Diceros bicornis minor: one gene and its partner. The protein of the gene in region 1 purifies or fractionates together with the protein of each later gene. This does not show direct contact. Links are inferred from orthologs where the notes say so. Each region holds a gene or a part of one and is shown on either strand. Other genes may lie near its edges.

The links. Proteins that work in one complex are often made in the same cells at the same time.
Region 2: the proteins of WDR24 (region 1) and CASTOR1 purify together in Homo sapiens (affinity purification with mass spectrometry; 3 studies listed by BioGRID and IntAct, counting the BioPlex papers as one, with this or other methods). This does not show direct contact. The link is inferred for Diceros bicornis minor from reciprocal best matches to the Homo sapiens genes WDR24 and CASTOR1.

The regions. Positions count from the first base shown.
Region 1 is NC_080765.1:47,631,337-47,635,078, forward strand, and holds the start of WDR24 (GATOR complex protein WDR24), read left to right. Parts: upstream 1-1,230; 5' UTR 1,231-2,029; coding exon 2,030-2,510; intron 2,511-3,659; coding exon 3,660-3,742. UniProt on the Homo sapiens protein: Catalytic component of the GATOR2 complex, a multiprotein complex that acts as an activator of the amino acid-sensing branch of the mTORC1 signaling pathway. The GATOR2 complex indirectly activates mTORC1 through the inhibition of the GATOR1 subcomplex.
Region 2 is NC_080774.1:23,803,503-23,807,244, reverse strand, and holds the start of CASTOR1 (cytosolic arginine sensor for mTORC1 subunit 1), read left to right. Parts: upstream 1-897; 5' UTR 898-960; coding exon 961-1,073; intron 1,074-1,680; coding exon 1,681-1,751; intron 1,752-2,944; coding exon 2,945-3,132; intron 3,133-3,217; coding exon 3,218-3,350; intron 3,351-3,604; coding exon 3,605-3,731; intron 3,732-3,742. UniProt on the Homo sapiens protein: Functions as an intracellular arginine sensor within the amino acid-sensing branch of the TORC1 signaling pathway. As a homodimer or a heterodimer with CASTOR2, binds and inhibits the GATOR subcomplex GATOR2 and thereby mTORC1.

The DNA.
Region 1 (3,742 bases):
AGGGGAGAGAGGAAAACAAAACCAACCAACCCCTAAAATCATTTTCTTATTGTACATAACGACCTCATTCTCCTGTATATGCGGAAGATATAACCTTATATTTGGTAAGTGTTTCTTGTGCTATTTTATCATGTGAACTGTTTATAAAAATATATATTAAAAAAGTTGTAAAAAGACGTGTCTGAGTTGTTTTTAGGTCATCAGCCCATGGCGGGGAATGGTGTCTCTGCCCTGGGTGGCCCAGTCTCTGGATTCTTGTGCGCCTCTCAACTCATCAGACTTACTGGTCCTTTCAACAAACATGCAGAGGCTGGGTGCCACTGTGCCAAACTGGAAACCCAGCAGTGACCAACACAGAAGGCTTCTAACCTCTCATTGCTTAAAGGGGGAGAGACAGATATTAAAGTCTTCACACAGAATATTTCCTCCAAAATTTCTAGGATTTAGCCCATCCTTCCAGAAGGGCAAAAATGAGCCCTGTTTCATGCACAAAGTAACTAAGAGTAAGAGAGGGGCAGGGATGTCCTAAAAGATCACAGGGCAGCAAGGACCGACCAGGACTCATGCCCAGGAGAGGAAGGGAGGCTGAGAGAGGGTCACTGACTGAATGGGTTGCGTGAACAGGTCGTGTCAGGCATGGAGCCCTTGGATCCCTGCCTGGTGGAGTTCACACTGGTGTGCGACAATAACCAGTAAACAAAGAACAGTTGTGACAAGCGCTGCGGAGCTGACAGTGAGTGGAGAGGCCCCGTTAGATGCGGTGACCAGGGAGGGCCTCTGAGAAGGTGACACGCAGGCCGAACCCCGAAGGGTGATAAGGAGGCGCGGTCCGGAGGAGAGCGAGCACGGCACGCTCAGCGGCCTCGAGGCAGCACAGCGGGCGGGCGGGCGGCAGCCGCCGCGGCGAGAACGTGCCGGCAGAGACGAGGCCGCGGCTTTGGGATTCATTCACAGCGCGGCGGGGACCTCGGGGGGCCTTAGGCTGAAGAGCGGCACCTGGGTGCCGGGCGGGGGTCAGACGGGGGAACGAGGGACCAGGGAGAGCCGCGCGGAGACTGCTCCCGGGGTCCACTCCGAGGAAGGAGGTGGAGACGACTGGCGCGATTCGGGACTCGTTGAGGGATGCCCGGACTTGCTGGTGGACTTGGAGGAGAGATGAGCACTGGTATTAGAATACTGCGATAAAAAGACCAACCACCGAGGCGGAGCCGGGAAAGCACCCCTACCCCAGTCCTTGGACCATTCCTTCGCCTCCACCAGCACAGCTCCCAGATCCGGAACTTTCGTGGTGTGGGCGCCCGCTTCCGGCGAGGGGCTGACAAGAAACGGACCACTTCCGGCGAGGGCCAGGAAAGAGACGAGCTGTTTCCGGCGCGGTGCTTCCGGCCCGGCCCGGCCGGGCAATTTTAGGAAATAGTTCGGGTGCTGGCGGAACGCGAAGCTTCGCCGGGTTCTCAGGCTCTGTTCCCACCGCCTCCGCTCCCCCGCGCCGCCCTTGACCGCAGGAGTCCGCGCCGCCGGCGTCTCCTCTCTCCCGCCCTGCCAGACCCCTCGGGCTCCTTAAACAGCTCGGTCCTTGAGGTCCCTCTGTTTCCCCCGCGCCCCGCAGCCCTCCGCCCCCTCCCGGAGGCCGACTGTGTGGACGGTGGGGACCACCTCTCTTCCCTGCTGGGACTGAATGACCGAAGGTCCAGCGACCGTCCAGATCTGACCGTTGGGGGCATGGAGAGGTGGCCTGGGCTGGGACTGACCAGGTAAGGTCGTCCCCAGAAGTCAGACATGGGACTGACCAGCCTCAGGGCAGCCACGGCGCCTTCTCACCGCCCGGCCAGGGTGATGGAACTCGCCTATCAGACTGACCACTGAGTAACAGTGGACTGCCCTGGTCTGGCTCACCCAGAGCGACCAGCCCAGGCCTACGCAGTTTTGGGGGACCCAACCAGGGTGAAGGATCTGAACTGACAGTTCCCCCTAGGCTGACCTGGCCAGCCCAATTCACTGACCTCCTGTGCCCACCACCTGTGCAGCCATGGAGAAGATGTCCCGAGTGACCACGGCCCTGGGTGGCAGTGCACTGACGGGCCGCACCATGCACTGCCACCTGGATGCGCCGGCCAATGCCATCAGTGTGTGCCGTGACGCGGCCCAGGTGGTCGTGGCAGGCCGCAGCATTTTCAAGATCTATGCCATTGAGGAGGAGCAGTTTGTGGAGAAGCTGAACCTGCGTGTGGGCCGCAAGCCCTCACTCAACCTGAGCTGCGCCGATGTTGTCTGGCACCAGATGGATGAGAACCTGCTGGCCACAGCGGCCACCAACGGCGTGGTGGTCACGTGGAACCTGGGCCGGCCGTCTCGCAACAAGCAGGACCAGCTGTTCACGGAGCACAAGCGCACGGTGAACAAAGTCTGCTTCCACCCCACTGAGGCCCACGTGCTGCTCAGTGGCTCCCAGGATGGCTTCATGAAGTGCTTCGACCTCCGCAGGAAGGACTCTGTCAGCACCTTCTCAGGTGAGGTCCTGGGAGGCAGGTCGGGCAGGTCTGTGTCTTTGCAGGCGGCTGGCCTGTCCAGGCAGGTTGAAAAGTGCCGTGTGCATCAAAGGTCCTCAGCTGTGCTGCCAGACGGCTTCCTGGAGGAGGGGCCAGCCGAGCACTGCAAGAGTGGGTGGGGATCAGCAGGGGAGGAGAGGGGTACCTGGAGTGTGCTTGCAGCTCTGATGCACCTGTGGGGCCAGCAGGAGTCGAGGCTGGGTGTGGGATGAGGGAGAGGGCAGAGCCTGAGCAGACCACAGCCAACCTGGGTGGCCAGGCAGAGGGTTTGTTTCACTGCCTTCTCTTCCCCTGCCTCAGAGCGCCAGGCCACCTCACTGCAGGAAGTCTACCGGGTCCTCAGCCCAGGAAAGCAAAGGAGGCGGGGTTCCTTTCCCAGCAGGCCCAGCTCCCTGTTAGATAGCCTTGAGCTAGCTCTCCCTTGTTCACTTCAATGAAACCAAGTGAAGCACAGGGCCCTCAGAGGCGTGAGAGAATTGGGGGGCCTTTTAAGACAAACCCTGAGCTACCTGTGCTGAGGGAAAGCTGGACACTGCCCTCAAAGGCTCTTGGTGTGGCAGTCCACACAGTTGGGCATGGGCCCTCAAGGCCTCTCTGGTCCTCTGGGGCTGACCCAGCACCTCTAGCTCAAGGTGAAAGACTGGGCAGAGGCTGGGGCACCCGCATCCGTGCCTCCTTGGGCCTCCCTCGAGGGCCTCAGGACCCCCAGGGAGTGTGGACAGATGGCGCAGTGAGGCTCCTGTTTGCTCAGTGCTCTGATACTCAGTCCTGAAGCCAAGCCACAGCTTTGCACAACCACTGACATCAGATGCAAAATCTGGGGAAAATCGAGGTCCAGGAGTTTGTGTCAAAAACCATCCAATGCCTGGTATCCAGCTCCCTGGCCCAGGCTGTTGTGTCTGCTCTGTGAGACCTTTCCTCACCCCTTCCACCCTACGCAGTCCTTGAGGGTGTCCACTCCACCATCCAGGCCTCCCAGCCTGGGCCACAGGCAGGCATGTGACACCGGTCTACAGCCACTCCAAGGCTCCACCTTGGCCGCGCTCCCTCTTGGAGCCCCCTGTGGGGAGGCCCCCTCATCTTCTTCCTCCATTGGTGTCCGGCTCACAGGCCAGTCTGAGAGTGTGCGGGATGTCCAGTTCAGCATCCGGGACTACTTCACCTTCGCCTCCACCTTTGAGAATGGCAACGTG
Region 2 (3,742 bases), on another chromosome or scaffold:
TGCATGGGTCCATCCCCCAAAGTCTGAGGCTTGGGCATTCCTGGGCCAAGCACTTAGTCTTGAGGGGGGCCTCAAGCCTTAGGCCTGGCCACCTTCAGCTCTCTACCCCCTCAGACAGAGGTGGCTGGGGTCCTCCTTGTCTCTGTGACCCTGGTGGGGAGACTTCTACTCTGAAAATTGGGTGAGAGGAACAGGTGTGGGGGCCACCAAGGCCAGGCAGGTTTCACATTGTCAGCCCACTTGCAGGGCTCACAAAGCAAGGAGGGGTATATATCAATACCAGTCCTGGACAGCCCTTGCTGCCCATCACTTCACCACCACTTTTGTCTCCACCACTCCAGCCAGCTCTGGTGGCCCTGCCCCATGCTGAGCCATGAAAGGAAGGAGAGAGAAAGGCGCCAGGACACTGCTGGGAATCTCAGGGTCACCCAGGCTGCACAGCCGACCCCTACCCTATGCTCCAGGGGTTTGGGGGCAGCATTCTGGGTCCCAGCGGAGCCCCAGTTGGCCTCGCGGTCTTTCCAAGCTTCAATGACCTCACTCATAAGACCCTATGGAGGCCAGAGGACAGAACCCCACGCTTCCCGCTTGCTCCAGACCCCGGCGAGGCAGGCATCCTGCGGAAAGGGCGGAGCCCTGGGAGGGGGCGTGGCATGGGCGGGGCCTGGAGGACTCGACGGGGGTGGTGTCAGCGGGTGATCCCCGAGCCAAGGCTAAAGGGGCGGAGCCAGCAGGGGCGGGATTCTGCGGGCTGGAAAGAGTGGGGTCAGGCTCAGGCATCAGAAGAAGGCGTGGCCTCCTCGGATAGGCGTAGCAGTCAGGGAGTGGGACGCGCCGTAGCGGGAGTCGTGGACGCGGCCGCGCGGCGGCTCCTTTAAGCCTCCGGCACCGCCCCCCCCGCCCCGCCCCCGGCGCGGCCAGGGTCTGGTTGGCGGCGGGTTCGGGTCCGCGCGGGCCGCGATGGAGCTGCACATCTTAGAGCACCGGGTGCGGGTGCTGAGCCTCGCCCGCCCAGGTCTCTGGCTCTACACCCACCCGCTCATCAAGCTGCTCTTCCTGCCCCACCGCAGCCGGTGCGCGCCCGGGTTCGGGGGCACAGATGGGGGTGGGCTCCGCGGACTGTCGCTCCGGAACGGGGTCGGGAGATTAGGATCGCCGCGGGGCGAGCGGGAGCCGGCGGGGAGCCCCCCCACCACGGCCGCCATCCCGCCTGGGCCTGCCCTCCCTGGGACCGCCGCCTATCCGGCCCCGTGAGGACCCCTCCCAGGGCCAGTTAAGGCGCAAACAGCCTGGGTTGGTCAGTGCTTAACTCCGAGTGGTGCTAAATGGGGGCATTCCTTTCTGGCGACTTCCATCGGGTCAGCTTCTTCCAGATGCCTCCCATCTGGTCAGCGGGGCGGGTCTATGGGGCCCAAGGTCCGACGCCCCCGGCGCTGTTGCCGCAGGTGAGCCTCTCCTCCCTCCCGGAATGGAAGGGCGGGGGCGCTCCTGCGGAGGTAGGGAGTCGGAAAACAATTCGAGATTCCGGAGGTGGAGCCCACACCCCACTGCCCTGGGGAGAAAATTGAGGCTTGAGGGGGCAGGGAGGCGCCCCGCGGGGGTCTTTCCAGGCAGATGGAGCGAAGTCTACCCGCCCCCTTCGCCCAACCCAGGCTGAAGATGCCCCCTACTCCCAACCAGGTGCAAGTTCTTCAGCCTGACGGAGACCCCCGAGGATTACACGCTCATGGTGGACGAGGAGGGCTTCAAAGGTGGGGCTGGGCTGGGCAGGGGGCGTAGGGGATGTCGCACTCCCGTCTTTTCGGGATTCTCACTAGATTCTGGGATCCAATATCCCAAGAGCTGGGGCCTTTAAGGCGGATGAATCTGGGTTCGGATTCGACTCCACCACTCACTGGCTGTGTGCCCTTTGACAAGTAACTTCCCCTCTCTGAGCTATTTGTTTCCTCTTATGTAAAATGATATAGTTATAGTTCTGATCTAATAGGGTCCCATGAGGGCTTTATAAACGGGGCTGTATGTGAAGGTCGCTTAGCAGCCTCAGGCCAGCAGCAAAACCTCTGTTAACGTTTCTGGCCAAGAATCGGGTTCCTGTGGCTCTTATACCCCACTGGCCATTGTTTCTCCCTGGACTTCTCTCCCTAGTGCTGGTGCCCCCCTCCCGGACTGGTCTGGGAAGTCCAGGAGTCTGAGGGTTGGGGAAAGAATGCAGGAGCAGGCAGTGAGCCCAGGGCAAGGTCCTGGGGGGCCTCCTGGCTGTGCCTGGGCGATTAGCAGCCACCCTGGCCTTGGCTTCTATTCTGTACTGGACGCCAGCCTGGTCCCTCCCAGGTCCCTGGAACTGACATCTGTCTCATACTACTGCCAGCCTGACCTGTCCTCACAGGCCTGGAATCTCAGGCCAGCCAACTGGGGCTTGGCCCACCTCCCACTGCACAGCTTCAGGTCTTGGTTTCCCTATGTGTACCGCAGGAAAGGCTGAGTGTGCTAAGGGGGAAGGGCATACCCCAGCCAACCTGATCTGCTGGCGCCCCCTAGTGGTGTCACATGGTGTAAAACTTGTTAAGCCAGGAAACGCTGTCGTGAGGTAGATAGCTGCTGTCATCCCATTTTACAGATGAGGAAACTGAGACTCAGAGAAGTTGAATCATTTGCTCCAGGTCAACAGCAAGTAAATGGCGAAGCTGGGATTTGAACCCAGGTCTGTCTGAATCTGGAGCTTCAATCTTAACTGGGAAGTTTCAATTCCTGGCAGGCCAGCACTTGAAGCATTTCTCAGTCCTTGCATACATGCAGGTCTCAGGAGCAGGACTTGGAGAAGGGAGACAGCCCCAGTCTCCAGACCTGACCTTACCTTGGTAGAGCCCTCCAAGGCACAGACAGGGAAACAGGGGCAGGGGCCAACCCTGCAGGCCCTGACCGGGCGTGTGCCCCCTGCCCACAGAGCTGCCCCCGTCCGAGTTCCTGCAAGTGGCTGAGGCCACATGGCTGGTGCTGAATGTGTCATCCCACAGCGGCGCAGCCGTGCAGGCTGCTGGGGTCACCAAGATCGCCCGCTCAGTCATTGCGCCATTGGCCGAGCACCACGTGTCCGTGCTGATGCTGTCCACTTACCAAACGGACTTCATCCTGGTGAGTTTCCCGCAGGCGCCGGTGCAGGGCAGGTGGGCATGGGTGCCTGGGGACCCATGTGATGTGCCATCTCCTTGCGGTCCAGGTGCGGGAGCAGGACCTGTCCAAGGTGATCCACACACTGGCCCAGGAGTTCGACATTTACCGAGAGGTGGGCGGGGAGCCTGTGCCTGTTGCCAGGGCTGATTCCAGCAACGGCTTTCCCCGTGCCCAGCATGGTGAGGGCCGCCCTCTGACACCCAAACCTGGGTGGGGTCTCCTCTTCCCACTGAGGCCCTTCTCTTGTGCGCGTGGGTCTGTGGGTATGGGGAGCCCAGCTGACAATGATCACCTCACAAGGTGGGGAGATGGGGTGGGGGAAAGCTGTAGCCAGTTCCCGTAGAGCATGACCCTGCATTCATCCCAGGCCCCACCAGGGGACGCCCCAGCCCACAGTTGCCTTTTCACCTGCCAATGCCTGGTCCCTCCCTAGCAGGGCCCAGCCCCACAGTGCATCCCATCCAGAGTCCACAGAACCGCTTCTGTGTCCTCACGCTGGACCCTGAGACGCTGCCAGCCATCGCCACCACCCTCATCGACGTCCTCTTCTACTCACACAGGTGGGCTGTGT